7 linked regions of the Coturnix japonica genome follow. The protein of the gene in region 3 purifies or fractionates together with the protein of the main gene of each other region. This does not show direct contact. Links are inferred from orthologs where the notes say so. Each region holds a gene or a part of one and is shown on either strand. Other genes may lie near its edges. The genes, in order: DHX57, PURA, LIN28A, NOC4L, RRP12, NCBP1 and UPF1.

The links.
Region 1: the proteins of LIN28A (region 3) and DHX57 purify together in Homo sapiens (affinity purification with mass spectrometry; 3 studies listed by BioGRID and IntAct, with this or other methods). This does not show direct contact. The link is inferred for Coturnix japonica from reciprocal best matches to the Homo sapiens genes LIN28A and DHX57.
Region 2: the proteins of LIN28A (region 3) and PURA purify together in Homo sapiens (affinity purification with mass spectrometry; 3 studies listed by BioGRID and IntAct, with this or other methods). This does not show direct contact. The link is inferred for Coturnix japonica from reciprocal best matches to the Homo sapiens genes LIN28A and PURA.
Region 4: the proteins of LIN28A (region 3) and NOC4L purify together in Homo sapiens (co-immunoprecipitation; 3 studies listed by BioGRID and IntAct, with this or other methods). This does not show direct contact. The link is inferred for Coturnix japonica from reciprocal best matches to the Homo sapiens genes LIN28A and NOC4L.
Region 5: the proteins of LIN28A (region 3) and RRP12 purify together in Homo sapiens (affinity purification with mass spectrometry; 3 studies listed by BioGRID and IntAct, with this or other methods). This does not show direct contact. The link is inferred for Coturnix japonica from reciprocal best matches to the Homo sapiens genes LIN28A and RRP12.
Region 6: the proteins of LIN28A (region 3) and NCBP1 purify together in Homo sapiens (affinity purification with mass spectrometry; 3 studies listed by BioGRID and IntAct, with this or other methods). This does not show direct contact. The link is inferred for Coturnix japonica from reciprocal best matches to the Homo sapiens genes LIN28A and NCBP1.
Region 7: the proteins of LIN28A (region 3) and UPF1 purify together in Homo sapiens (affinity purification with mass spectrometry; 3 studies listed by BioGRID and IntAct, with this or other methods). This does not show direct contact. The link is inferred for Coturnix japonica from reciprocal best matches to the Homo sapiens genes LIN28A and UPF1.

Annotation. Positions count from the first base shown.
Region 1 is NC_029518.1:14,410,436-14,413,935, forward strand, and holds part of DHX57 (putative ATP-dependent RNA helicase DHX57), read right to left. Parts: intron 3,500-3,500; coding exon 3,403-3,499; intron 2,652-3,402; coding exon 2,478-2,651; intron 2,258-2,477; coding exon 2,057-2,257; intron 1,307-2,056; coding exon 1,030-1,306; intron 678-1,029; coding exon 582-677; intron 488-581; coding exon 404-487; intron 268-403; coding exon 130-267; intron 1-129. UniProt on the Homo sapiens protein: Probable ATP-binding RNA helicase.
Region 2 is NC_029528.1:15,484,009-15,488,243, forward strand, and holds the start of PURA (transcriptional activator protein Pur-alpha), read left to right. Parts: upstream 1-1,435; 5' UTR 1,436-1,450; coding exon 1,451-2,452; 3' UTR 2,453-2,657; intron 2,658-4,235. Other genes in the region: translation initiation factor IF-2-like, read right to left, coding at 1-1,031. UniProt on the Homo sapiens protein: This is a probable transcription activator that specifically binds the purine-rich single strand of the PUR element located upstream of the MYC gene. May play a role in the initiation of DNA replication and in recombination.
Region 3 is NC_029538.1:209,644-213,640, reverse strand, and holds the start of LIN28A (protein lin-28 homolog A), read left to right. Parts: upstream 1-1,197; coding exon 1,198-1,234; intron 1,235-2,056; coding exon 2,057-2,478; intron 2,479-3,997. UniProt on the Homo sapiens protein: RNA-binding protein that inhibits processing of pre-let-7 miRNAs and regulates translation of mRNAs that control developmental timing, pluripotency and metabolism.
Region 4 is NC_029530.1:2,106,340-2,109,839, forward strand, and holds part of NOC4L (nucleolar complex protein 4 homolog), read right to left. Parts: coding exon 3,477-3,500; intron 2,141-3,476; coding exon 1,977-2,140; intron 1,804-1,976; coding exon 1,721-1,803; intron 821-1,720; coding exon 707-820; intron 407-706; coding exon 290-406; 3' UTR 1-289.
Region 5 is NC_029521.1:19,507,112-19,511,125, reverse strand, and holds the start of RRP12 (RRP12-like protein), read right to left. Parts: upstream 2,801-4,014; 5' UTR 2,740-2,800; coding exon 2,601-2,739; intron 2,277-2,600; coding exon 2,041-2,276; intron 1,959-2,040; coding exon 1,875-1,958; intron 1,705-1,874; coding exon 1,628-1,704; intron 1,506-1,627; coding exon 1,400-1,505; intron 1,314-1,399; coding exon 1,197-1,313; intron 1,093-1,196; coding exon 954-1,092; intron 787-953; coding exon 659-786; intron 389-658; coding exon 290-388; intron 215-289; coding exon 123-214; intron 50-122; coding exon 1-49. Other genes in the region: PGAM1 (phosphoglycerate mutase 1), read left to right, coding at 2,924-3,164, 3,386-3,660.
Region 6 is NC_029547.1:62,576,629-62,580,676, forward strand, and holds the start of NCBP1 (nuclear cap-binding protein subunit 1), read right to left. Parts: upstream 2,801-4,048; 5' UTR 2,695-2,800; coding exon 2,652-2,694; intron 2,540-2,651; coding exon 2,454-2,539; intron 2,316-2,453; coding exon 2,215-2,315; intron 1,238-2,214; coding exon 1,081-1,237; intron 1-1,080. Other genes in the region: TSTD2 (thiosulfate sulfurtransferase/rhodanese-like domain-containing protein 2), read left to right, coding at 2,844-2,942, 3,078-3,355. UniProt on the Homo sapiens protein: Component of the cap-binding complex (CBC), which binds cotranscriptionally to the 5'-cap of pre-mRNAs and is involved in various processes such as pre-mRNA splicing, translation regulation, nonsense-mediated mRNA decay, RNA-mediated gene silencing (RNAi) by microRNAs (miRNAs) and mRNA export.
Region 7 is NC_029543.1:2,798,394-2,801,893, reverse strand, and holds part of UPF1 (regulator of nonsense transcripts 1), read left to right. Parts: coding exon 1-40; intron 41-340; coding exon 341-515; intron 516-970; coding exon 971-1,052; intron 1,053-1,552; coding exon 1,553-1,714; intron 1,715-1,955; coding exon 1,956-2,173; intron 2,174-2,540; coding exon 2,541-2,660; 3' UTR 2,661-2,663; intron 2,664-2,782; 3' UTR 2,783-3,500. UniProt on the Homo sapiens protein: RNA-dependent helicase required for nonsense-mediated decay (NMD) of aberrant mRNAs containing premature stop codons and modulates the expression level of normal mRNAs.

The sequences.
Region 1 (3,500 bases), on a different chromosome or scaffold from region 3:
GAAAAACTATAGGTAGGAGGTGGTTTGTTGCAAGGCTGCATCCAGAAGCCCGGCAGAGCTAACAGCTGGCTTTCTGGCCCCATCAAAAGCTGCAGCATTTGGTCAAAGCATCGACATGCTGCAAGTTACCTCTTCTCCTGTGGCATCCAAGACGCCATCGCCTGCTTGGGACCACTTCCTCTCAATGTCCCTGGCTCTTAACCCCTCCTTCACAAACCCAATGTCAGAAAGCAGCTCTGTGAACTGTCTTTTCAGACTGGCAATTTCCTACAAAAAAAGAGAAAGGTCTGTGATGGGAGACCCACTGAGGTAACAGCACCAACAGCTCGCTCAGTTTAGGCACCAGAACTCCACCTCGGTGTCCTCAACCAGTCCCTGCATGAGGCCACAAAAACTGACTTACCTGAAGAACTCTTCCTGATAAGAAGTTCTCCCTGCAGTAGTTGTAGCTTGCCTGAGGGCCCTCTTTGGTACTTAAACGCCATCCCTAATTGAAAAGACAAGAGCAAACTTTGAAGTACTGAACTTCAAGCTGTGATACATCACAAACCTCTGACAGAGGCTAATCATTTTTAGCTCACCTTATAAGCCTGGAGCAGAGCCAGATAGTCACTGTTTCCTACTGCAAAGTCCAACTTCTTTTTGTTTGCTTCTTCCCTTTTATCCCATGGGGACACCTGGAAAGGCAGGGACAGATTAATCTCACAGTGGAACTGCTGCTTATGTTTGCTTTCAATTTTTACACTAAATCTGGACAAAACAGACTGGCTGCACTTAATGTTCATTAACTGTAATAACTGTGTTGTTTCAATGCTTGTTTATAAATACTATTTGTGTTGTTGCTGTATGATTTTCATCATCTACCTGTAACAACTCTTCTGATGAGCACTGCATTAAGCATATAAACAGGGGAGGCTAAGAAGGAGAATAAACACACTCAGGTGCAGCACGCTGCAGCTTACAGCAGCATTCACCGCTGTATGAAAATGCACTGCTTTCAAAGATGGAAATGCAAGTAACAATACTTACAAAGGGTGACTTAAAAGCCAGACTGGCTGCTATTGTGAGCGCAGGATCCAGGCAGCGGAAGATGGTGCCAAACAGCATTAGTTTGCCAATCCTGACATCAACAGGCAGGGAAGCCAAGTGATATCCCAAAGGAGTGAGCTTTTCATCTGCAGTTAACGCTCCTAAGTCTTGCAGACGCAGCTTTGATGCCCGCAAAGACTCAGTTCTAGGGGGCTCAATTAGTCGTGATAAGACAGAGTGAAGGCTCTGTGCAGAAAACATGTCCAGAATCTTAATTCTGAAGGAGGGGACAAAAAACAATTGAAAGCAAAAGAAGGCAGCTTAGTTCCACAGACAGGATGTCACAGAGAGCATTTATCAAAACACCACAAACCTGCTTTCAAGAACACAGCCCCTCGAAGAGGCTCTGTAAAGAGTGATTAAACTCAGGAAGCCATATGAGGATGGGTGACCTCCATCCAGCATCACAGCCAGGAAGAACAGATTCTTACTTATCACACTTCATTTTAAAATGAAGTTTTCTCTGGAAAAAATGTTTTTCTCTTGTTTTGTTTCTTTTTTTGTATAAAGGGGTGCACCAAGTGAGGCAGGAGCAAGAAGGTCTCTTTCATTTAGTACTGGTGTTACAGCAGTGTTGGATCCAGAGTGTGGACTTACTGCACTGTGTCGCTCAGCAACTCCAAGGGAGATTATAGTATAGAGAGATAAACATCTCCTGTGGGCCCAGAGCACAGGAATGCAAATATCTTCTCAGGGGATGAGAGGCCTTTTTCCTAGTGCTAAATAAGAACTAAGTGCTGTGCAAGAAGATGGGAGATCTGAGACATGGTATGACTAGATCTCTGGATGCAGAGGCACTGTGATAATGAGATCAAGAGAACCTGAAACCTCCAAAGCAAGTTTACTGGTTTTGTGATGTTACTAAGGGGGACTAAATTCCTTAATAAGGGCATTTCAGATGCTTCCTCCTGTGGAGGGAGGACACTCTACACAGGGTCTTTCAGGTAATATAGAAACAACAGCTCACCTTAGACAAAGCTGCTCCAGGGGCACTCTTTGTATTTCTGGTAACTGCTGTTTTATGAGCTGATGGTTATAGTGATGGCTAGTGAAAAGATGGAAGCAGACACCTGAGGCTACACGGCCTGCTCGTCCTTTCCTTTGCAGAGCGTTGGCCCTGGACACAAACGTGTCTTCCAGACTTTCCATTCCTTTGCTTGGGTCGTATCTGCAGGAGAGCAAGAAATAGGCTTATATTCACGGGTGCAGGGTGAACAAGCTGGAGCTCCAGCACACAGATGTTGCCAACCTCTATATGGACCTGATTCCCACCCCTGCAGCTGGATCTGGGTCCAGACTGGCTCTCCCTCTCCTAGCAGCTTTCTGCAGATCAAACTCCTTCAGGTTCTTCCCAGCTCTTTGCACAGAACAGGAATGAATCCCAGTACCTTTTCTCTTTCATTTTTCCGGAATCAATCACATAGACCACATCGTCGATGGTGACAGATGTTTCTGCAATGTTGGTAGAGATGATGATTTTGATAACTCCCGCAGGAGGCCGGAGGAACACAGACTGCTGTTCTTCACTGGACAGTGAAGAATGAAGTGGATAAACAACACACCTGGGGGAAAAATAGGAGAGTATGCTGAGCACATCTCTGCTTTTTTCCTCCTGGGAACAGCCTGCCTGTATGCACTTCTGCACTGCCAGTACCAGACAGTGCACACACACATTCAAATTCATGTAAAAAACAGCAAACCTCTCTGCCACATCAAATTTAAGATACACCCTGCGGGAAGGTGGAGAAGTTTGCAGAGGGAACAGATCTCAGAATGGAGCTGAAAAACCAACAACCTGTCTCCTGTGAACAGTCTAGAACATTTGATTTATAACGCCAGATTGGAAAAGATCACTCCAGTCAACCTTGTCAAAGGCATCTGTGTCACTACTGTTTAGACAAGGAAATCCAGTTACACCTCCATGTAGCAATCTGTGATCAAATACAACCACAGTAACAGCTGAAGGCTTCTGAGGGCACATTCTGAAAGAGAACAGTAGCTGAGGTGAAGCTTCCAACAGTCCACCGGACCACGCAGAGTGCAAAGTGCAGAAACTCATCACTGGGATTTCTGAGAACTACAACAGGTACCAAAACAAACACCTTCCATTCTTCTGAGACGACAAGAAAAAATCTAACAGAGCAAGTCAGTAAGACAGCAGAGTGGGAATTCTCTTGTCTGGGTCATATCACAAACTCACACGTTTAATAAACTGTATTTGTCCCTTGATAAAGGCAGATTTCATGCTGGAAGCTACTCTCTTTTTTTTTTTATAATGGGTAAAGACGTCACCTGGGAGCTGTTGTGCCTTACCTCTTGCTGTGCCTGTTATTAAAAAGGGCATTGGACTGGAGCTGCTCATAAAGCATCTTGATTTCTGCTAGACCAGGCAAAAATATCAACACAGCACC
Region 2 (4,235 bases), on a different chromosome or scaffold from region 3:
GCAGCGGTTCTGCCCCGTCGGGTTCCGGCAGCGCCGCCGTGGGGGGAAAGGAGCCCCGGGAGCGTTCGTGGCGAGACAGATTTCCACGGCAAGACGCGAAGCGCTCCGCCCGCAGCGGGACTCGGCTCCCCGGTGAGCCCCGCTCCGTGGGCCGGGAGCCCGGAGAACGGCCGTCCCGTTCCGCTCGGGGTGACCGAGGGACGCTCTCCGCGTCTCAGCCGCGGCGAGGGGCGGCCGCCCGGTTCCCTCCAGCCGGGCTCGTCCTTTCGATGGTTTCCGAACAAAGGCTCCTCGCAGCCGCCCGGATCGAACCGCGATTCTTCACGATAAAGAATCACACGGCGGCACCGGGCCGGCAGCGGGGCCCGACTGCGGACGTGCGCCAGGCCACGGCCGTGCCCGCCCGCTCCGCCGCCCGTTGGGGCCGGGGCCGCTGCCGTCGCGCGTCCCCTTTGGCGGCGTCGCACTGAGACGGGTGGGCCCGAGGGGTCGGAACCGCGTGTCCCGCTCCAGCCGCCCCCGACGGGACGATAGAGGGAACTTGAGGGAACCGGGGCTGGTGGGAGGGACCCGGGTCGGAAGCGGGGAGAGGTTCGTCCGGAGGGCGGCGCGGTACCGTATAGTGCGGTATGGTACGGTATAGTACGGTATAGTACGGTATAGTACGGTATGGTACGGTATAGTACGGTATGGTACGGTATAGTACGGTATAGTACGGTATAGTACGGTATGGTACGGTATAGAACTGTATAGTACGGTATAGCACTGTATAGCACGGTATAGCACGGCATAGCACGGTACGGTACGGTATAGCACGGTACGGTACGGTACGGTATAGCACGGTACGGTACGGTATAGCACGGTATAGCACGGTACGGTACGGTATAGCACGTTATAGTACCGTATAGCACGGTATAGCACGGTACGGTACGGTATAGCACGGTATAGCACGGTATAGCACGGCGCGGCACAGCGTCACTCCGCACGGCACCGCACGGCATAGCACCTCGTATCACGGCACAGCCCTCCATAGCACTCTATAGCCCTCCATAGCGCTTGGTATCACGGCACAGCGCGGCCCCGCCCGCCCGTCCCGCTCGGTGCCGTCCGCTCCCGCTCGGTTCCGTGTCGCGGTTCGGCCGCCGGTCGGCGCGGCGCTGCTTCCCGCTCTCGGTTCGGCCGGCTCTGGGGGCCGCTCTCTGCCGCCTCCCGCGCCCTCTCCTCGCTCCCGCAGATCTCGCGAGAGCGGCCGGCTGGTGGCCGCGGGGGCTGTTGCAGCGGCGGCGGAGCGGCGGGCGGAGCGGCGGCGGCGCGGGCGGCGGCCGGGGCGGCCGAGGCGGCGGCGCGGGCGGCAGCGCGGGGGGCGGAGGGCGGCATGAGCGGCGGAGCGGCGGCCGAGGCGGCGCTGCCGGGCGGCGGCGGCGGCGGCGGCGGGCGGAGCGGCGGCATCATGGCGGACAGAGACAGCGGCAGCGAGCAGGGCGGCGGCGGCGGCGGCGGCGGCGGCGGCGGCGGGGGCGCGGCGGGCGGCGGGGGGCCGGGCTCGGGCTCGGGCTCGGGCGGCGGCGGCGGCGGCGGCGGCGGCGGGCCGGGCGGCGGGCTGCAGCACGAGACGCAGGAGCTGGCCTCCAAGAGGGTGGACATCCAGAAAAAGCGATTTTATCTGGACGTGAAGCAGAGCTCCCGGGGCCGCTTCCTGAAGATCGCAGAGGTGGGCGCCGGCGGCAACAAGAGCCGCCTGACGCTGTCCATGTCCGTGGCCGTGGAGTTCCGCGACTACCTGGGCGACTTCATCGAGCACTACGCGCAGCTGGGGCCCAGCCAGCCCCCAGAGCTGGCGCAGGCGGCCGACGAGCCGCGCCGGGCGCTCAAGAGCGAGTTCCTGGTGCGGGAGAACCGCAAGTATTACATGGATCTGAAGGAGAACCAGCGCGGCCGCTTCCTGCGCGTCCGCCAGACCGTGAACCGCGGCCCGGGGCTGGGCGCCGCGCAGGGCCAGACCATCGCGCTGCCGGCGCAGGGCCTGATCGAGTTCCGCGACGCGCTGGCCAAGCTCATCGACGACTACGGCGTGGAGGAGGAGCCGGCCGAGCTGCCCGAGGGCACCTCCTTGACTGTGGACAACAAGCGCTTCTTCTTCGACGTGGGCTCCAACAAGTACGGCGTCTTCATGCGGGTGAGCGAGGTGAAGCCCACCTACCGCAACTCCATCACCGTCCCCTACAAGGTCTGGGCCAAGTTCGGCCACACCTTCTGCAAGTACTCGGACGAGATGAAGAAGATCCAGGAGAAGCAGCGGGACAAGCGCGCCGCCGCCGCCGCCGCCCCCGCGGGCTCCGGGGCCGGGCCCGAGCCGCCGCCCGAGGCCGAGGGCAGCGCAGCCGCCGCCGCAGCCGCCGCCTCCGGTCCGCCCGGCGCCCTGCTGCAGCCCGACGAGCCCGACGAGGACTGACCGCCCGCCGGCCGCCCCGCCCGGCGCCGGGGCCGCGGACTCGGACTGCTCTCGGCCGCGCGGGCGGCAGGCGGCGGCCCGCGGCCGTTCCCGGGCGGCACCCCCGGAGCACCCCCCGCCCGGCAGCCTCCACCGAGCGACAGCAACGCCTCCGACCCGCCACCCATCGCTGGATGTCCCTCCACTTTTCCCACCGTATCAAACAGTAAGCAGCTGCTAAAACAAACAAACAAACAAACAAACAAAAAGTCAAAAAAAAGTAATAACATTATATATGAACTGTGTTTCCTACTTGATTAAAAATATAAAGAACTGAGTGTTTATTTCCCTAATTAACCGAGAACTTTTGTACACGTTTAAGCTATTATTATTAAAAGTGTTTGCAAAAATGGTCAAGATTATAATATTGCTGAATTATATAAAAAGTCCTTTTCATGTTGAGCTAACATTTGACTTTAGCACAAAAAGAAAAAAAAAAAAAGAGATATTTTAGAACACGTAAAATAATATTTTTAGTTTTTTCTTCTCATTTTGTTACCAAATTTCGAACCTTACATGGAGGTTACTATAGTATATTTGACACCCTATATACCTGTGATTAGAGATGTGTATATATATATGAGGGCTAGGCATGCTGTGTGTCTGAGCTTTGTCTAAATGTTATGCAGAAGTTTGTAGAGTTACAAGGTACGTAGGTTTAATTCATGCAAGGTAAACAATAAGTGCTCTCTTTTATACGATATGCATTGCATCTGGACCTTCGACATATAAAAATGGTCAGTGAAACTTCTGTGAACATGAAGAAAAATTATTAAAAAAGGCATTTAAATGAAATTTGCAAACTTGTGATTTTTACGTTGGAACCAAAGTTACTCAAATAGGAAAAATTAAAAAAAAAAAAGAAAGAAAGAAAGAAAAAGAGAGAGAGAGAAAAGTGAAGGGTTTCCTCCCGTAATATTTTTCTGCACCTGTTTGGTTTACAGCTCCGTAGGCGTATTGTCATTGTTGTGTATATGAGATGTTCATGTATTGTTCATAATCCGTTGTTTTTATTCTTATTCTGTGTACTTTGGGCACTCAGACGCTGCGCGGTGCGGGGCCGGCCGGCCGGTGCTGCCCGGTGCTGCGGGTCGTGCATTGCCGTGCATTGCCGTGCATTACCGTGCATTGCATTGCCGTGCATTGCCGTGCCATGCATTGCCGTGCATTGCCGTGCCGTGCATTGCCGTGCCATGCATTGCCGTGCATTGCCGTGCCGTGCATTGCCGTGCATTACCGTGCATTACCGTGCATTGCCGTGCCGTTCCGTGCCGCCGCGCCCCGCCAGCCCCGCGCCCGGGCCGAGCTCCGAACCGAGATGATTTGTAATAATAGATTTTTACAGGTGGATTTTTGTTTTCTTTTTCCTATTTTATTTTTTTTCTTTTTTAAAGTTGATGTGCTTTTCATTGACTAACTTCTTGCTGCTGTATAGTAAAATATTAATATATTTTTATCATTAAACTGCTGCATGACTATCATCGTGACGAGTGAAGAGAAGGTGTTACAAAACAAAAGATGCCTTAAGCAGTACAACTGGTACAACTGTAGTCGTTGGCCGGAGCTCTGGGGCGCAGGGGGAGAGCGGAGCTCGGTGAGAGAAGTTTGTTTTCTGCTGTCTGCTATTCCCATTGCAAACTGTAATCCCTTTCCCCCTCCTCCCTCCCCCTTTGTTTCGGAGATGTACTGTGAGTGTCAAAGCTGTTCCCGTCGTGCCGTGCCCTCCCCGTCGGTGTTCGCAGTT
Region 3 (3,997 bases):
TGGACAACCTATGAGCATCACTGCATTATTAACACCGCAGAGTGCTGGTAGTACTGCTTGTTCTGCCCATCCCCGATGCATGCGGTCATCGAGACTCAACTGGCTGTGGGCACTAGGGCCATGTCCTCACAACCACCGAGTCCATTTCACCTACCTTCCTTCCCTCACTTGCAAAGAGGAAAACCATCTTTGTCCTCCTCCTCTTCTTCCTTCATCCCATAAACTCAGCAGTGAGGGAGCTACGTAGAACTCCCGGGAGTGGAGCGGTCCAGCGGTGAGAGGTGCGAGAGAAGGGTAAGAGGAAGAGAAGGAGAAAGAGAAGGAAGAGGAGGAAGAGGAAGGCGGCAACAGCCGCCGCGCAGAACCCTGGACAGTGCGCACTTCAGCACCACTGACAGCTCCGTAGCGCTCGGGCAGGCGGCGCCCCCCACGCGGGATCCCCCCATGCGGGATTCTCCTAGAGGGACCCCGCATCCTTTCCCCCTTCAGTGGGTGCCCCCACGACATTCAGAATGCTCAGCCTCCGTACACTGCCCCTTTCCCGCGCATTAAGGCCACGCATGATGTGGTCCCGCGTGGAGAGGCGGCTCTCAGCGTGGACGATGCCACATCCACCTCCCGTGGAAGCGTCGAGGAGGGGGGAAGGGGGCGGCCGAAGAGCTCGGACAGCCCACGCACCGCCCGCACCGCGCGGGGCCGCGGAGGCTGCGGGAGGCGCTGTGCCCCCGCGGGGCGGGGAGGCCGCGGGCAGTGTCCTCCCGCCGGAAATGGTGCTGCGGTCACTCGGCCCTTTGTCCCGCCCGGCCCGGGCCCTCTTTCCCCACAGCCACGCGTGGGAGGGACGAAGTCGGGGCCTCGGGGAGATCCCGCGTGCCGCAGTTGGGATGGGGCTGCGGGGAGGTCGAGGTGTCCCCAAAAAACGCTCGCTTTCCCTCAGTAGCCCCTGCAAAGCCCGGACCCACGAGCGACCTGGGCGGCTCTCAGGTGGCGAAATGGCGTTGGGACCCCCCCGAGTTCTGGGTATGGGTATGGGGGGGGTCCCATCTCCTCTTCGCGTCTTCCCCTTGACAGGTGGCCTCGCCCCTCAGTGGGGGGGAGGTCACACCGCCCTCCACCCAAATCCCTCCCGGAATGTGTCGCTATTAGCCGGGGGGAGTGGGGAGGGGGGGGGGTTAATTAGGATCACGTGGGGGCGGGATGGCGGCGCGGGGCTCGGCGTCCCCCAGCCCCTCGGGTGGGTCCCGGCCTGAGTTGGGGGTGAGGGGTGGGGGCAGCGGGGGCTTCTATTGTCTGCGAGAATTTGGGAGCCTTTGAAAAAACCCTCCCGCTCCCTCCCACCCCTATTGTTGGAGTGAAGATGGAGTCAAACCTCTCCCGGCTCCCTCCCGTCGGGGTCTAAGCCGGCCTTTTTTGTTGCTTTTTTTTTTTTTCGTTGTTTTTTTTTTTTTTTTTTGGGCTGATACCCTCAAAGCTGCCCGAGGAGGAGGAGGAGGGAGGAGGCGGTAACAGCCACAACCGCAAGCGAGTGTCGGGATGGGGTCTGTTTCCAACCAGCAGTTTGCAGGTTAAGTTATATTATTGTCGCAGCCCTCCTCGGCTCCGCGATTATTAATAACGGCGGCAGAGCCCGACGGGGGTCTGGGACCCCCCCAGCCCCGCTGATCCCCGCTGTGTCCCGGGCCCGGCGTGAGGGGAATTTTTTCAGCCCAGCCCCGGACTGAGCGCAGGAGCTGAGGGCTGTCGGGCTGGGGTCAGTGGGGAGCAGAGCTCCCGGTGCTGCGGGGAATCCTCATCGCAGCGCGGCGTGCTGGGGCAGGAGGGTCGGGTCGGTGTTTTGGGGGAGTTTTTCCGATTTTTTGTTGTTTTGGTTTTTTTTCCTTTATCCTTTAGTTTTTCTTTAAAAAAAAAAACAAAACCAACAAAACAAAAAATCACCGTCGTTAATTTTTATTTTTATTTTTTTCCTAGTGATGCATTTTGGGCTGCTTTATTTGGATTATTTTTTCAATTATTCTTCTTTTTTATTTTTATTTACGTATTTATTTATTTTTTTTCTTAAACACTTTGGACTGGAGAACGGCCCCAGCGCTCCCACCCCCGCTCTCCCTGCAGTCCCCTGCGATCCCACACGCACACACGTGGGCGCAGCGGATCGCCGCTTTTGGGTCACCGCGGTCATTTTTTTGCCTTTCCCATCCAGCAGGACCCAAACTTGGGCTCTTTCTGTTCCTTCCCTGGGGGCAGAGGGGTGTGGGACCCCCTCCAGCCCCACTCAGGTGCTCGCTGGCTCTCTCCCCAGGTGCGAAGCCGGGCGAGGAGCTGGCTGGAGATTCACCCAAAGCCGAGAATGATTCCCAACCCCTGCATGGCTCCGGCATCTGTAAGTGGTTCAACGTCCGCATGGGCTTCGGCTTCCTCTCCATGACAGCCAAGGGTGGCGCGACGCTGGACTCACCCGTCGATGTCTTCGTGCACCAGGTATGCTGCAGCTGGTTTGGGGTTGGAGGCGGTGGGGTGCAGCCCCAGCATTCTGCCCTTCAGATCTCCGTGCCTCTACTGCCATCCCAAATTGGTGTCCTGGGGGTGATGGGATTCCCCATGTTTGTGAGAGGAGGGCAGAGAAGGGCAGTGCAGCCCTTGGATCGCTCTCCAGGGAGCAACCCCGTAAACTGATCCTTGGGATCATTTAATTTTCTCGTGGTGGTTCACTGGGGAGCTCTTTGGAGGGCTGGGTACAGAGGAGCAGGTGCCCATTCAGTGAAAAAAAGGGGTACATAGGGCACAGCGGGGCAGGGATGCTGCTCACCCCAGGGAGGGAAAGGGGATAGAGCTGTGTTTCCCTCACTGCCTCATATAGGGTGCTCAGTGCCCCATGCAGGGATGCAAGATGGGGCTTTCCCCATCTCATCCTCAAAGGGTGGGGGTTCAGTCCATGCGAGCCCCGGGATGCTCATCCCTGGGAAGCAGGGAAACAAAACCATCAGTACTGTGATGACATGCGCTTGATTCCTCTGCTGTGTTTTGGGGGGCAAAGTCCCACTACAATGTGCCCAGCTCTCTGTCAGCAGGTTAGGGCTGCACTTCATCCTGCATGGCACAAAGCACATGGGGTCACACATGTGCCTCTATGGTTTCCATACCGTAACTGTGGTCTCGTGTCCGGGTTTGACCCGTGCATATCTTGCTGGTGTCCTGCACCAAAGGAAACTGCAGCTTTGGGATTATGGCTACTCAAAGCCACTTCAGAGGTGGGGAACGGATCCAGCCCTAGTGGGGACCGTGTGGAGGGTTTGGGGAAATGGGACTGGGGATGGAGTTTGAACTGGGGTCATGGGGGCATTGCTGGGAGGGAGATACAGTTCAGTGCTGGGTGCTTGGCAACGGGGCTGTGCACTGAACATGGGCTTCTGCTCCTCCAGGGAGAGCAGCAGCTGTTGGGGATGGGAGGCAGTATGAGCACGGGGGATAAGGATGTCTTTGGAGTAAACTCGGATGGTTTTTGTGCATTTGGCTGGAGGCAGGATGGGGATGGAGTGATTGTGCTGGTGATGGATCCTGAGGGCCTCTCAGCCCTCCCTTGGCAACCAGAGGGATAGGGGAGAACCGAACCCCTTCTTTGTAGAAGCCGCTGTGCAGAAGTGATGTTGGATTTGGGTCTGAGGTCTCCAAACCTGCCAGGGAATGCTGAGCTCCAGGTGCTCCCCAGGGGCAGCAAATGGGTCTTTGCATGTCAGTGTTGTGTCAGTGGGGGGGAGCCTCCCTCCCTCCTGCCCCTCTCCTCAGTCTTTATTGCCCCCAGACAGTCTGGTTTCCTGATTGCTCTCGCTCACATTCCTGCAGGAAAAGAGGACGAACAGGGTGTCCTCCTGGCACTCCCCATTTGTTGGAGACCAGAGCAGAGTTTGGTGTGCTTAGAAGGCAGCAAGCACTGGGCACTGGACAATTTAGGGTATGAGGTGGCACTGGGGAGCCCAGAGCAGGTGTGATTCTCACTGCC
Region 4 (3,500 bases), on a different chromosome or scaffold from region 3:
TCAGCCAGCACCAGCAGCTTTGGAAAGAAGGGCCAAGATCCCAACAGTGAACAAATCCAGAAAACAATACTGTGAGGGAAAACCCCTCCAAAACATCATTCACAAAGAAAAAAAGTCTGTATGTGGATACTGGAAAAGGTCCCTGAAGAGGGCTGCTCCTTCAGAAGGCAGTCCAGTTTTCACCTCTTAAAGAGATATTTCAAAGGCAGAATTGTCCAGCAAAACATGTGAGTTTGGTGCAGGTCCTGAAGGTCCGTCAGCTGTGCAGATGTGTTTTTAAGAGATGGCATCAATCTAAAGCAAAGTGCTCTGCAAGGATATCGTTTTTCTTCCCAAACAAACCTCGCGCTTGCACGAACTCCAGCGGCACTTTAGCAGATGTTTTCTTTATTTCTTTATCAAAAAGCTACAAAAAGAGAAAATATTGACAAAATTCAGTACAATCCCCTTACTGTGGCTGATACCAACACTCACCCTAACACAATAAAATATACAGTAAACCTTTTAAATGCAATACAGTCCTGCCGCTACCGCTGCCAAATGCTCCACCATTTAACAGACATTTTCCCCTTGGCTGTAAGCAACCAAAAGTCCACCTAGCTCCTTCCCCAGCAGCAAGGCTGATCAACAGGACAGTGCTGTTGCAGTCAGGAAGCAGTCTCCCTTCCTCTTGTTATAGTCATTCCCAAAAGCACAGCAATACTACCTCAGAAGCTGAGAGCTCCAAGAGCCCTGATATGTCATCCTCTATTTCAGACAGCGACTGATTGAGGATAGCAGCTGCCTGGGCCACATCTGGGTAATAATGGTTTTGTAGAGACTGCAAGATAAAGAGGAGAAAGTTTAATGAGCACACGGTAACACACATCCACCTGGCTTTATGCACAGGTATCCTAACAAACCCCTTGGTTACGAACATTAATTCTGGCAAAGGAGGCAAGTCTGCTGTACTGCGTTATTACACAGCTTAAAGACATACAGTAAAATCTGTATGTCTTGAAGCATTAGCCACATTTAAGACATAATTAAAGCACCCTTCCACCAGGTTCACATTCAGCCCAAGACAGATGGATTCCTCCACTGGCTGTAGCTACTGCAGCACACACCTCAACTCTGCCACCTCCCAGAGCCCCACTGCTGCATCTGAGCTCCCGCTCTCTCCTGCAACACCCACCTTGCACAAAATCCTTGCGGTGTTTAAATGGGAAGTGATAATCCTGCCACTAAGGTCACCAGGAGCAACTCAACTAATTTCAGCTTTCATACACCATCCTATGAATGTTCCATGTTAAGAGTGAACACTGCAATCTTCATCATTTTAGAAGTCATTTCTACAGGATGACCCATCTGTACTCAAGTTCCATCAATGCTCAGCATGCTCTTCTCTCCCCTCCAAAGCAAGTAGAAAGCCCCATACATTTGCCACTATTTACTCTTTCAGCTCTTAACAGCCCACTTTCCAGCTGCATGGCCAGATGTGCACTCACAAGACTCGTGCTAATTAGCAGGCACTAGTTCTCATGTGTTTAAAATCCTCTGCCTCTTACACTAAGGATAGAAAATGATGTGAAGAGCCAGAAATTCATCTCATTTGCAAGACGTGTCTGTCAGAAGGTTCATGGAAGTGATAGTGCTGGCTGCCAAGTTGTGTCATGTAAGCAGCAAGGGTGGGAGAAGGCTGTACCTACCATACACAGATGTGCCTTGTTAGATGACATACCTGAAGCTCCCAGAGCGAGCTCTCCAAAGCCCTGCTCTCAGATGGCTCCTCCTGCTCCATAATATACGGATCTTCTGACAAATCTAAGGGAAGAGACACAGAGCTAAGACCTCCTGCAGTGTCCATGACACCAGAGGGAACCCAGGGACCCAGAGCAACCAACACACTCAGGATCTGGGGCCAGGATCTCTCCAGGGATCCTGCTCTTCATGCTGCCTAAAGGTGTAACACAGAAGTCCCCGCCTTTCCCTCTTACCTTGTGGTCCATTAGGTCTGTGCATCAGCACTTTGCAGGCCGGGTGCCTCCGAAAGAGATTACAGATGAAAGGAATGACCATGAGCAGAGCCTCGGGAGGAGCAGTGAGGGCCAGCCGGGACAGGCGCTTTATGAATGCTGCCACCAGGTACGCTGGCAAGTGACTGTGGGGAAGGAAGAAGACACCAGAATGTCAAGAGTTCCAGCAAGTGAACCAGCAGACATCAACCCAACCAGCATGTCAGGCTAAGGACCAGTGGGATTCCTCAGCTTTTTGGACTATGAAATGAAAAGGAATCGTACAGCTATGAATTGTGATTTCAAGCAGTTACGTGGGGTCTTGTGTGCTGTCTGGAACAAATTTTGGGGCATTTCCATTCAGTGCATGAATAATCTCACATCAGTTTGTGATTGAACCCAGACACAGGGCACTACTCCAGACACTTGCTGTAGCCAAGCACAGCTCTTGTACACGGCCATTCACACTGCTGTCTTTATTCAGTCATTTTATAAACTTCTGAGTATTCGGCCAGGCAACCTTAATTATATTTTTCTAATGTAGTTCTGTGGGTTTAATTAATACACGTGCCATGGTGTTAAATTTATGTAATACTTGCAGGACTAGAGCAAGCGGTGCAGCTTGTAATGGGAACATAAAGCTGCTGTCACGTAAATGTGCAGAATAGTTCTCTTTTATGGTAGAAATGCAGGTTTTTAACAGCAATCAGCTCGTGTAGATACATTCTTCAGGTCAGCAGAGCTGGGATGAGATGACAATTTCCAGCCACTCATCCCACAGCCCCAGGGCTCCCTACACCTGCAAGGCTCAGCCAAACCACCCCAAGGTACAACCATCTGCCATGTCTTGTTACTCTCTCCAGAGAACACTATGAGCACCAGGGGGGTGATATTAAATATCACGCGCTGAGCATTACTCTTAGTTTATTTTACAACACATTATGGCAACTCTATGACCAGCTGCATATCTAGTTTATTCCCTGGGCATGATGAATTGACAGCATCAAGACAGAGCGTCAAATGCTTTATATTTCAATATTACACGTCTGCAAAAAGGTCATCAATTTATCAACAGATTTATGATACTGCGTCTATAAAAAGCCTGCAAATGTTCCTTTTCCATATTCATAAAGATGGAGAGAAAAATCATCACTTTCAGCCAAACTGGAATACAGATCAAAATACATCCATAATGATTTGCCGATCAAACTCAGATAATGAACTGCAGTTTTAGTCTGTGAAACCAGACAGATGCGTGGCGCATCTTCAGAGACATCACATGAAGAATTACAGCACTGCAGTAACACTCTTAGATTCAGTTTTCTCAATAAGAAAACAAACTTAATTCAGCGAGCACAATGACTACATTAAATCCAGACACGGGAGACTGTTGAAGAATGGACTCTGGCCAACTGAAAAGTAGCAGCAAAATGTATGTACGTATATACTGAAAGGTACATATATACTGAAGGTTCTACTTACGATGAAGACAAAAACAGATCAGCC
Region 5 (4,014 bases), on a different chromosome or scaffold from region 3:
GGCCGAGAAGAGACGGGGCAGGTGAGCCCAGCACAGGTCCTTCTGCAGTCTGGAGAAGGGACAGAACAACAGTGAGAGATTGAGCTCAGTCTCCCCCCAGCCCAGCGCCAGCCTCTCCCCACCTGCCCAGGTTGATGTGTGCCTTCTCCATGGTAGCCAGCCAGGTGAGCAGCGGCTGCAGGTCGTTGGCATTGGGCACGTAGTCATACAGCGCCTAGGGAAGAAAAATGGTGCTGAAGACAGTGGTGCCAGTATAGCCCCATCCCTCCCTACCCATCCCTGCACTCACGGTGATGATCTGGGCGTTGAGCTCGGCTGGCATGCAGGACGTTCTGGGCTGAGCACTGAACAGGCTATGGAAAGCCTGCATGGCACACGCTGTCACCAGCTGCAAGGACATGTGGTCAGGAGAAACAAAACCTCTGTGCTTTGCAGTCCTACCCCAAAGAGTGTTCTACCCAACCCACAGGGACACCCCATCTCCAGTGGAGCTCCCCATCTATGTCCCCCTCCTTCTACAGCAGCCAGCCAGCCGGCTCTGCCTGGGATGCTCTGATTTCAGGTCCTGCAGATTCCCAACAGAGCAGCCTAATGCCTTCCAGAGCTGAGGTGGAGGCACTGGCACAAGCACTACGTGCAAGGACACAGGGGAACTGACCACATGGCTGAGGGTCATGACTCTGAGCAGGGTCTCGCAGCACGTCTTCAGCACAGCCGCAGGGAAGCAGGGCAGCAGGTCCCGCAGGAGGGCCAGCACGTGCAGTGTGGTGGTAGCCTCCTTGGTGCCTGGTGGAACAGAGCAGCACCCATACTTGTAACAACAGCCTTGAGCAAAGACCCCATGTCAGAGCTGGGGTGAACTGAAGCCCCACTCTGGGAAGAAGGGAACAGACAGACGACTGAAAGCTCTCCTAAACTCTTGCAAGACCTTTCTCCCTGCTGTCCCTACCTACCTCCAGCTTTTTCAATCTCCTGCACGCAGAACTTGGCACTGGAGGGCGCCGCAGGATGGTGCTCAGGAGCCTCATCTCCAAACATGAACTCGCTCCCCCTCAGGACTGAGCACACACCGTGCTGAGCTGCTTTCCGAACCTGGGGGTGGATGAATATGGGGGCATAGAAACCATATGCACAGGGAGCACAGCCAGCCCCAGAACCAAGCCCTGGAACAGCACCCACATGTGCTGAAAACCCACCTTGGGTTTGGTATGAACACAGAAGCTCAGCAAGCCGTGGTAGACCTGGAGGGTGACAGGGTAGCTCCAGGCTGCCAAATCCTGTTTTCGTAGCAGAGTGGCCAGGCATGAGAGGACCTACAAGAGGACAGCAAGGATACTGGTATTACCTTACTGAGACCACCCTCAGTCCACCAGAGAGGCTGCCCCTCCCTGCAACTCACCCATCGCAGTGCAGAGGTGGAGCCGCTGCAGGCCTGTGAGGATATGATACTCATGAAGGCTTTTGAAGCATCTGAAAACTTCTTTATGAGTACCGGGCTGGGGACTCTGTGGGGAAAAGGGTTAAATGGCAGGCAGTCACACAGGGATTCGCACACACAGCCTGTCCCTCAGACTGTGCCAGACCCCATCCTGCCGGGGCAGCCCTCCCCACTCCCTGCCCTGCTCACCGCTTCAAGACAAGGTTGAGCAAGTAGGCAACGGCAGCCACTGACTCAGGGGAATCCACCGCCTCCAGCGTGGTCATCTGGAATACAGGAGGGGTTTGCAGCAGGAGAATTTGCAGCAGACCAGCCTTTCCCAAAGCTTTGGGGAAGGGGGCAGAGAAACAAAGGGCAACTCAACAGCATCTCTGCCGGAGGATGCTCAAAGCCTCCAACACAAGCAGAGCGCCATCAAACTGCGGCAGTCACTCACCAGCGCAGCAAAATACTCAGTCTCAGTCTCTTTGCCCCCCTGCGAGTGAATCACATCAGTCACAGCTGCCAGCACGGCACAGATCTGTCACGACAGCGAGCAGAGCCCTCAGCATCCTCGGATTGTTGCCCCAGGAGCCCAGGGCCAGCCCTGATCCTGCTGGTACCTCTTTGTGTGCGGCAGAGTTGGACTCCCAGAAGCGCTGCACTTTGCTGAAGGTGACATTGGTGCAGTCGCTCAGCCCGCTCAGGAAGGTGCCCGACGACCTCTCGGTGGCGGCCTCGCCGACATCACCCTCCTCCATGGGCAGCTGAGAGCTGCCGCTCGGCCGCTCCACACACAGCGATCCTGACTGCAGCTCATTGTGCAGCTTCACCGCGTCCACCGTCAGGTTGCTTTTCTCTGCCGGGTGAGAAGCCCCACGGTCAGGCTGTCCCGTATCACCACCACCCTCTGCTCCCGGTATGAGACACGGACATCGCTCCTCCCATAGGATTAGCACGGAGCAGCGTGGCACTGAGGTTCGGATGTGACTCAGTGCACAGCGGGGCAGGCCCATGCAGCGCTGCCCATATAACTGTGTGCCCATCGCGGCCGGGGCCTCGATGCAGCGACTGGCAGCCAGGAGCGGCAGGACCCCGCTGAGCTTTAAGGCCTTTCACAACCCTGCGCCGCCCCCCCCCATGTTCCACGTCCCACGTCGCCCCCCGGTCCCGTTCCGCTCACCGGCCGGCCGGCTGTAGAAGCGGCTTCTCGCGGCCAGGCGGTGCCGCCGTGTCTCGGGGTTACAATCGCTGCTGTGCCCCTTCCTCCATCGCCGCACCTTGGCGGCGGTTCCTGCCCTCAGTCTCCCGCACCGCGCCATGCCGGTCCCGGCTCCACGTGCCGCCCCTTCCCGCCGTACTTCCGCTTCCGGCGCCCGCCGCCATTTGCAGTGAGGGCAGCGACGCCCGCACCGCGGTGACGTCACCGCCCGAAGGTCGCGCCGCCCTTCGCGGCCCCGCCATGCGCTACGTGCTCCGCCGCCCGCCGCCTCCCTCGGGCTGCGCATGCGCGCCTCGCACTGCCCGGCGCGGGGCGGCGTGGGGCGGGTCAGTTGCGTGCGGCGGCGGCAGCGGGAGGAGCGGGGTGGTTGTAGAGCTCCAGCTGCCATGGCCGCGTACCGCCTCGTGCTCGTCCGACACGGCGAGAGCGCGTGGAACCTGGAGAACCGCTTCTGCGGCTGGTACGACGCCGACCTCAGCCCCGCCGGGCAGCAGGAGGCGAGGCGCGGCGGAGAGGCCCTGCGAGGTACCGGCGGGTGGGGGGGGCTGCGGCGGCCATTACGGGTGTCGGTCATTTCATTACGGGTGTCGGTCATTTCATTACGGGTGTCGGTCATTACGGGTGTCTGTCGGTCATTACGGGTGTCTGTCGGTCATCTCGGTGTCGGTGCTGACCGGCCGTGCCCGTTATGTAACGGCGCGATACTGAGCGGCCTCTGATCCCCCCCCCACCCCCGCTGTCCTCAGACGCCGGCTATGAGTTCGATATCTGCTTCACGTCGGTGCAGAAGCGGGCCATCCGCACCCTATGGAACGTGCTGGACGCCATCGACCAGATGTGGCTGCCCGTGGTGCGGACGTGGCGCCTCAATGAGCGGCACTACGGGGCCCTGACCGGGCTCAACAAGGCCGAGACGGCCGCCAAGCACGGCGAGGCCCAGGTGAAGATCTGGAGGCGCTCCTTCGACATCCCCCCGCCGCCCATGCAGTCGGACCACCCCTTCTTCACCGCCATCAGCAAGGTAAGGGGCTGCTAGGAGCATGGGGAGCCTTGTGCCGTGGGCCTCCCACGCTGCCCTTCGCTCTCCGGTTGCAGCATCGGTGACAGGAGCTGGACCGAGGCCATGCCGTGCTTTCCCTGCAGGGGATGAACCCCAAGGGATGGCACGGAGTCAAGGGGAGATGTTAATCATTAGTCCTGCAGTCAGACCTTGGGTGTTTGCTCGGCAGCAGGCACCATGCTATTGCCCCCAGGCAGGGCTGGTAGCTGGAGGCAAATCCCAGCACTCTTTTCTCGTGGGTGCGCAGCTAAAAGCCAGTTTCACTCCTGTTCTCAGTCACCGTTCTCAGCACTCAACCCCTGGTGCCTCATTTCC
Region 6 (4,048 bases), on a different chromosome or scaffold from region 3:
TGTAACACTACAACTCCTAATAATGGCAGGGTGGGAAACACCAATATGCATTTAAAGGCATGCAAGCACGTAACAAAACATATAGAACAACCACATTTTCTCTTCCCCAAGTGTAAAACAAACAAACAAACCCACAAATGCCTTCTTAAATGCTGAAGTTGGATTGATCAACTTCTTCATGAGTCCAGAGGTGAACCAGAAATGGCATCATTTAGAGTCTTTCAGATGAGACAAATTTCCATAGTTATTTGTTCATAAACACAGATAGCTACAAAGGGAAAGCTGATGTAAAAGCTGACTGCATTGTCAGGTCTCAGAAAGGTGAGCAAGGCTAGGAATCAGCCTTGGCAATGAAAACATTCCTCATGGCAGGAATACATCATTCATTTGGAGGCATACTAACAAGAAATCCAGACCGGCATAAATGGCAATTTAAGTAGAAAAGGTTTGGGGTACTACAAAAAGTTTTGGGAACATGTTATAGTGGGAACTGTTCTCTTCTTTCTTCCCTCATCAATGGGCTTTAAAAGAAGCAGTGTAGCTTGCAACTGGTCTTCTCTCTTATAAGATCTCTGAAGTGAGAGCTGAGCAAGTGGCTTCAGAGAAAGCACTAACAATTGTCTGCTTTCTCTGACTACCCCTCTTTGGGGGACAAATAACACAGGCCTGGTAGCAGTCATGAAACACTAGTTTTAAGACTGAGCCTTTTTTTCCCCTTCCATGGGAGCCAAAAGAGCAACTAATACAAAATATCAAAAAGCATGAGTTTCATCCACTTTTTATACTTTGCTGCAGAAAAGGCTGGCAAGAGCAGAATGACCTCCCTTGGCTGCAAATTAACTTGCAACTGAGGAAATACACATTTGAAACACAGTCTGCAACTGTGACATGATTTTTCTCCCCTTGGGAAGGAAGTACTCCTCATATAACATACAATTCCTCTCAGTTTATCTACATAAAAGCAAGCATCAATGAAATTTAAAGACTGTAATACATGTAGAAAGGCCAAGTTCTCATGGAAAGGTGAAAGGGAGGAAAGAAAAAAGGTGAGGAAAACATCTAACACAAAGAGACACTTACTAAATGCACAGCTTCATTGTACATATTGACTTTCAGACATTCTTTAAGCTGACGAATCATGGCTTCTACAAATTCCCCACCAAAGTTGTAGTTCCTGGCATTCAGCAACCCAACTAGTGTTGTGTAAACAGTAAGCTTTTCTGGTAACAGACGTGCACTGACACAGAAAGAGAAACACAGCGTTAGCACTTATTCATCATAAACCAACCAACAACAGCATACCAGCCCAGAATTTGCTTATAGTAAGCTAAACTTGTTTCATGTGGAAGTAACAAAAAACATTAACATAATCTGTAGTTGTTCCCATGGTTAATGCTTTCAGACTGTTTCTTTTTCTAGGAGGGAGGATTACTTTTAGGAAAGCAGATGTCACTTGCAACTAATTTAAGTAATTTGCTTTTTATTTATTTCTAATTTCTAAGTGTCCTGGAGATGGGGCTAAGTAACGTGATAGAATTTATTCAAAGATGCAAAACGCTCTTTTAAGACTACACAAGATTTACACATTTTACACTGATAAATTTGATCCTAAGTTTCTTCAGTCAAAGCAATTGATTTAGGGAGATTGTAGGGAAAAAACAGAAAATGGTGGGTCCTATTGTAAACAACTAGCTTTCCTCAACCTTTTTTGCATACCTGTAGACTAACTCTATATTTTCAAATACATTTTACCACTATAGGGAGTGACTGGAGTGCTGCCAGCAGCCCCTCTGTGTTCCCAAGGATGGGCTCATTAATCAGCACCACCACATGCCCAGAGCAGAGGAACAGGCCACAGGAAGGCATCACAAGCAAGAGGTACTGGCAGCCTACAGGTTCAATGCCTCTATTTCTTTGGGGGGCAGTGTGTTACCCAGCATTGTGCTTTTGCTGCTGCTGGGCAACAGTGCTGATTCTCTTCTGCTTGAAGCCTTGTATACATTTCAAGTTCACATACGGCAAGGAAATATTTTCCTTAAATTACCCCCAGAACTCAGTGAGTTCATCCCTTCTATTTCTTCTGTTTGTAGGAAAGGTAACAACAGTTGAGAACTAAAAAACCACCACAGAATGCTCAGATTGCCTCAAACACTCCAATGTTTCCAATGCAAGGAAAGCAAGCACCTCTCAGTCCCCCCCAGCCTGCATACGTACACAGTACACAGAATTCTTAGTATCTTGCTTTTGTAATTTGGCAGATCAGCTTCCAACACACCAGCTAGGCCCTCCAAGTTGCTCTCCAGGGATGAATTACTCTACAGAAGGCAAAATAAAGGAAGAAATAAAGAAATGCTGCAGCATCAACCAGACAACACTTAGTCTAACAGCGCCCATTGAATACAGCAGTACACCAGCCCCGCTCCGTGCGCCACGCGGCCGCCGTTGTGTCCTACCTTCTCCCCCACTCTGCAGATGAGCGACTCGAGCCTCTCCTCGATCTCGGACGGCTCCGACGTCCTCCGCCTCTTGTGGGGCTGCCCTGCTCCACACAGCGACCACACCGTTAACCGCCCAGCCTCTCACCTGCCGCCCACCCATCCCACCCACCACAGGGCCACGCAGGGAGAAGCGTGGGGGCACCCATCGCTCACCATCGCTGTCATCGCTATCATCGCTGTGTCTCCGCCGCGACATGGCGCTGAGTGACGAGCACACACCGGGCCGCGCCGAGCGGGACTCAGCCGACCGCGCTCCTTCCCCGCCCGCTTCCGTCGGCCTCGCCTCCACTTCCAGTTCCGCTTTCAGCCCCACAGCTCTTCCGGGGGTGGGGCCGAAGGAGCAAGATGGCGCCGGGCGAGGCGCAGACGGAGGCTGTATCTCGGTGCAGCGCTGCGGCTCAGGCGGCCGCCGCTAGGAAACAGCGTGCCTCCGCCAGAAGGAAGGTACGTAGGGTGGGCACGGGGCGCTGGGGCTCCAGGCCGCCTGTGGTAACCGGCCGCCTGTGGTAACCGGCCGCCTGTGGTAACCGGCCGCCTGTGGTAACCGGCCGCCTGTGGTAACGGCCGTCTGCCTTGCAGGCGTTCTCCCTGTTCGTCAAGGCCAAAGAGGTGCCGGCCGCCTACCCGTGCAGCGGGGCGGCCGTGTGGTGGAGGTGCTGCCGGCAGACGTTCCGTGAGCGCCGTGGTATCCATCGGCACGTCGGTACGCAGCACGGCGGGGACGTGGAGCAGCAGGCGGCAGGGCATGGCACCATCAGCAGGGCGGTGTGTGCTGAGCGGGCGGGAGGACAGGCCTGTGGAGAGCTCTGCGAGGTGCTGCCCGACACCAGCGGCCTACGCAGCGACGAGCTGACCAGGTAAGGCCGGTGTGGCTTATGCTCTATGCACGAATATGTACTCTTGCTTTCTATTTTGCTACAGGAACCTGAGAATAGGAGCTATAAGTTTTCAATGGAATGTGTTGAGTTGCAATGAGATACTTACATGCATAAACTGACAATAGCAGGACTCGGGGAAATGGTTTTAAGTTGAAAGAGGGAAGATTTAGGTTGGATGTTAGGGGGAAGTTCTTCACTAGGAGAGTGGTTAGACCCTGGAACAGGCTGCCCAGGGAGGTTGTGGATGCCCCGTCCTTGGAGGTGTTCAAGACCAGGTTGGACGGGGCCCTGGGCAACCTGATCTAGTAAAGGCGTATGTTTGGTGGCCCTGCCAGGCAGGGGGGTTGGAACTACATGATCCTTGAGGTCCCTTCCAACCCGGGTCATTCTGTGATTCTGTGATATAAACTATTCTATACATTTTATGAGGACTGCTCCAGAATTAATCCCTAGCTTGTCATGCAGCCTCTTGTTCATCATTAGTGAAATGTGTAGCTAATGCTGGTGGCAATGCTGAAAAACAGTGTTTTTTAGGTGATAAGTTGTTCTAATAGTGTTATTGTGCTCTTTGCGTGGGCTGTATTTTCTGAGAGTATATAGGAGGCCTTAATTTTGGATCAGCCTTACATATATGTGGCCCAAGATGATTCTGCTTCAGTCAGTCTAGCTCAG
Region 7 (3,500 bases), on a different chromosome or scaffold from region 3:
ATGACCCCAGGCGTCTTAATGTGGCTCTTACAAGAGCAAGGTAAGGTGAAATTGAACAGATTTCGTTTTAGAAACGAGCTACTAAGGGCTGTGTTCTGTGGGTGGTAAACCCGTTCCTCTGCCTGGTTTGAGTGAGCCTTGAAGGGAATATGGAAATCATTCAATCTTAAATCAGTCAGCGTTACTGTTTTGTATTGGAAGTGTGCAGAATCCAGCATGCTCTTCCTCTTTGCCTTCAGGACAGAAGTCATCTTCCCTTCACTCACTCTTTTCTGTCTTAGCAGCCATAGTTACAGTTTTTCTTTCCTTAGAATGAGTTTGATTGTCAATTCTTCCATAGGTATGGGGTAATTATTGTTGGGAACCCAAAAGCTCTGTCTAAACAACCGCTTTGGAATCACCTGCTGAATTACTACAAGGAGCAGAAGGTTCTGGTGGAGGGACCACTGAATAACCTCCGGGAGAGCCTCATGCAATTCAGCAAGCCCCGAAAACTTGTCAATACTATCAACCCAGTAAGTTGGCCTTTCCCGTTCCTCAGATACCTGTGGTGTGAAGTAACTGGGCATTGATAATCATAAATTGATGGAATAAACAGGCACCCATGTGTCCTCACAGCTGTATCTTTCCACTTCTTGCCTAGTAAATGGGCAGTGGCAAAGTAAGCTGCGGTTTCTAAGTGGAGCAGCTTGTCTTTATTCACTGTAAAACTGTACAATGGGATAACTTCTGAGATGCATGAAACATGTAATAATTACTTTGTGTAGATTTAGCAAGCTCATTATACAATTGTTCTGTAAGGTTTTTACGTTGAGAATTGTAAGCGTGTGGTTGGGATGACAGCTGGATGTTTTTCATGTATTAGAAACATTATCTGTGATGGTTTCTCTGAGTTTTTACTTGCCTTACAGTCAGGTTGCAGTGTACAGCTCGGTGCTAAACCTTTGTCCAACTCCTTCAATTCTTTCAGGGTGCCCGTTTCATGACCACTGCCATGTATGATGCACGTGAAGCTATTATTCCAGGATCTGTCTATGACCGGAGCAGTCAAGGTAAAGAAGCTTCCAGCATTAACACCATTCACTAGTCTTCTGCAGTGTCTCATAGACTGCAAATGTTTAAATGCTTGAGGAGATGCTACAGAAAAATGTGGGTGTTAAAAACTGAAAATGCTTCTGATGTCTGAATACTTAAGGAGGATTTTGCTGTCCTTAACGTTGCAGTAACCTGTGTGGTTTAACTGCATATCTGCAGAGCAGGTGAAGAGGAAGGGGGTGTGTGTGTCAGTGTTGTGGGAATCATGAACAGCGCTATAGAAGAGTGATTGGATGGGGTGACCACGTTATGTCTCTTTGAGCCTTGGAAGTGTGGAATAAATAGGGAAGTAGAAATCCCAGAGGTTCTTGGCAGTGTTAGGCTTGTCCTTTCAGTTTCTGGTTTCTGATTATGTTATTTTTCCTGCTTGAAGTCCTTCCGTTACCATTAAAAGCAGGAATATGAATCTCAGATTATTCAGGATGCTTGAAATCACTGTGACTTTCTCCCTCTCCAGGGCGCCCATCCAACATGTACTTCCAAACCCACGACCAGATCGGGATGATCAGCGCAGGCCCCAGCCACGTCACTGCTATGAACATTCCTATCCCCTTCAACCTCGTGATGCCCCCAATGCCACCTCCGGGGTACTTTGGGCAGGCCAACGGCCCGGCTGCAGGTATGGGGCTGGGGAGGGCAGTGCCAAAGCCATGGTGTGAGTCTGATGTGAGATAATGGTTTTGGTCCTGATGAGAGTAAGATGTGATTTGATAATAAGCCTGTTGTATTTCTTTGCACCTTCTACATTGAGTACAACATGAAATGTTGCTTTAAGTGAGTCAACAAGTCATTATAGAAGCATCTGATTTTCACACGCTTGTAAAGCTTCTCACTGTTGGTTTGGATAAATGCCTTTCCAGGACGTGGGGCACCCAAAGGGAAGACTGGACGTGGTGGGCGCCAGAAAAATCGATTTGGGATTCCTGGAGCGAGTCAGTCAAACCTTCCCAATAGCCAGGCGAGCCAAGACGTGGTGTCCCAGCCTTTCTCCCAGGGTCCACTGACTCAGGGGTATATCTCCATGAGTCAGCCATCTCAGATGAGTCAGCCTGGGCTCTCCCAACCAGAATTATCACAGGTAAGGAGAGCGATGTACAGTCCTGCCCTTTTTCCTGGGTTTTATGTTAGTGTTTTGTTTGTGTGCACATCTCCATTCCTTAGAACTGAGGACGGTAGAAACTAAACCATCTTAAGTTAATTTGGCCCCAGCATTTCTGACCTTCTACTTGGTGGGCTTCATTAAGTATAAAGAATTCAGTGCTGCATGTTCCAACCTCACTTTGAGCCTTAACCTTCAGCTGCCACGTACTGCTAAAAGCTGTATGGCATCGGGGGTGAACTTTAAAAGCGAAAACAAAACAAAAAGTCACTTTTTCTTTACCAGTGGCTGCTCTGTGAGGAACCACTGGAGCTCGATGCTGCTTAACACACACTCTCGTTTCCAGGACAGTTACCTTGGTGATGAGTTCAAGTCTCAGATTGACGTGGCGCTGTCACAGGACTCCACCTACCAGGGGGAACGCGCGTATCAACATGGCGGAGTGACGGGACTGTCACAGTATTAGAGTGTAAGGCTCTGAGGTCCCCCCTCTGCTGCTACTCCCCAGTGTGAGCACTAGAGAACTGTTTCTCTCCTGACAGCCCTAATGCAGCTCTTGTTTTGTTTTTTTTGCTTTCTCGCTTTCAGGTTGAGGAAGAAGAGCTAAGCTTGCGTGGAGCTTAGTTCATCAGCATTTTATTCTGGGTAATAAAAAAAATAAAATAAAATGGATACCTGTTTTCCACTGCTAAAACTGAAGCACCACTGTGTGAGAGCAACAGGAGAAAGAAACCAACCAACGGAGAGAAGAGAGAGAGAAAGAGAGAAAGGAGCGCGCGCGAGAGAGCCCACTGCTAGCTCACTGAGACAAGGAGACCGACCGGAGAGGAGAGAGAGCAACGACGGACTGGCTGGCGCCTCACGGGGAAGGCAACTCACCCTGCAATGAGTGGTCAGCCGAGTCCCTGCTCCCCCAGTCCAAGAAGCTCGAGAGAAGGGCCTTAAGCAGGTTTCACTTCATTCCATACTTCTCTTTGCGAGCGGGGCATTACTTTTCAGAGCAGATGGGGAGAGGAAAACCCTCATCTCAGAGTTGTTCTCATTTTCAAGGGGTACTATATTTTAGCAGTAACTGTTTACATTTTAGAAGCAGAGTATCTGAGAAGGGAGTTCTTAAGTTGACAGCAGGCCGAGCAGAAATCCAATGGAACGTAGCTGATGCTCAACTCTGAGATGGAGGTTTTGTTGTCCAGCGCTGGCTCTGAAATCCTGGTGTCATCGTGCCGCCCACATTCTGAATGGGTCTTTCGTGACAAGGTGGTTTTAAAGAGATTCTTTCAAAGGAGCACTGAATTTTTAGAAGTTT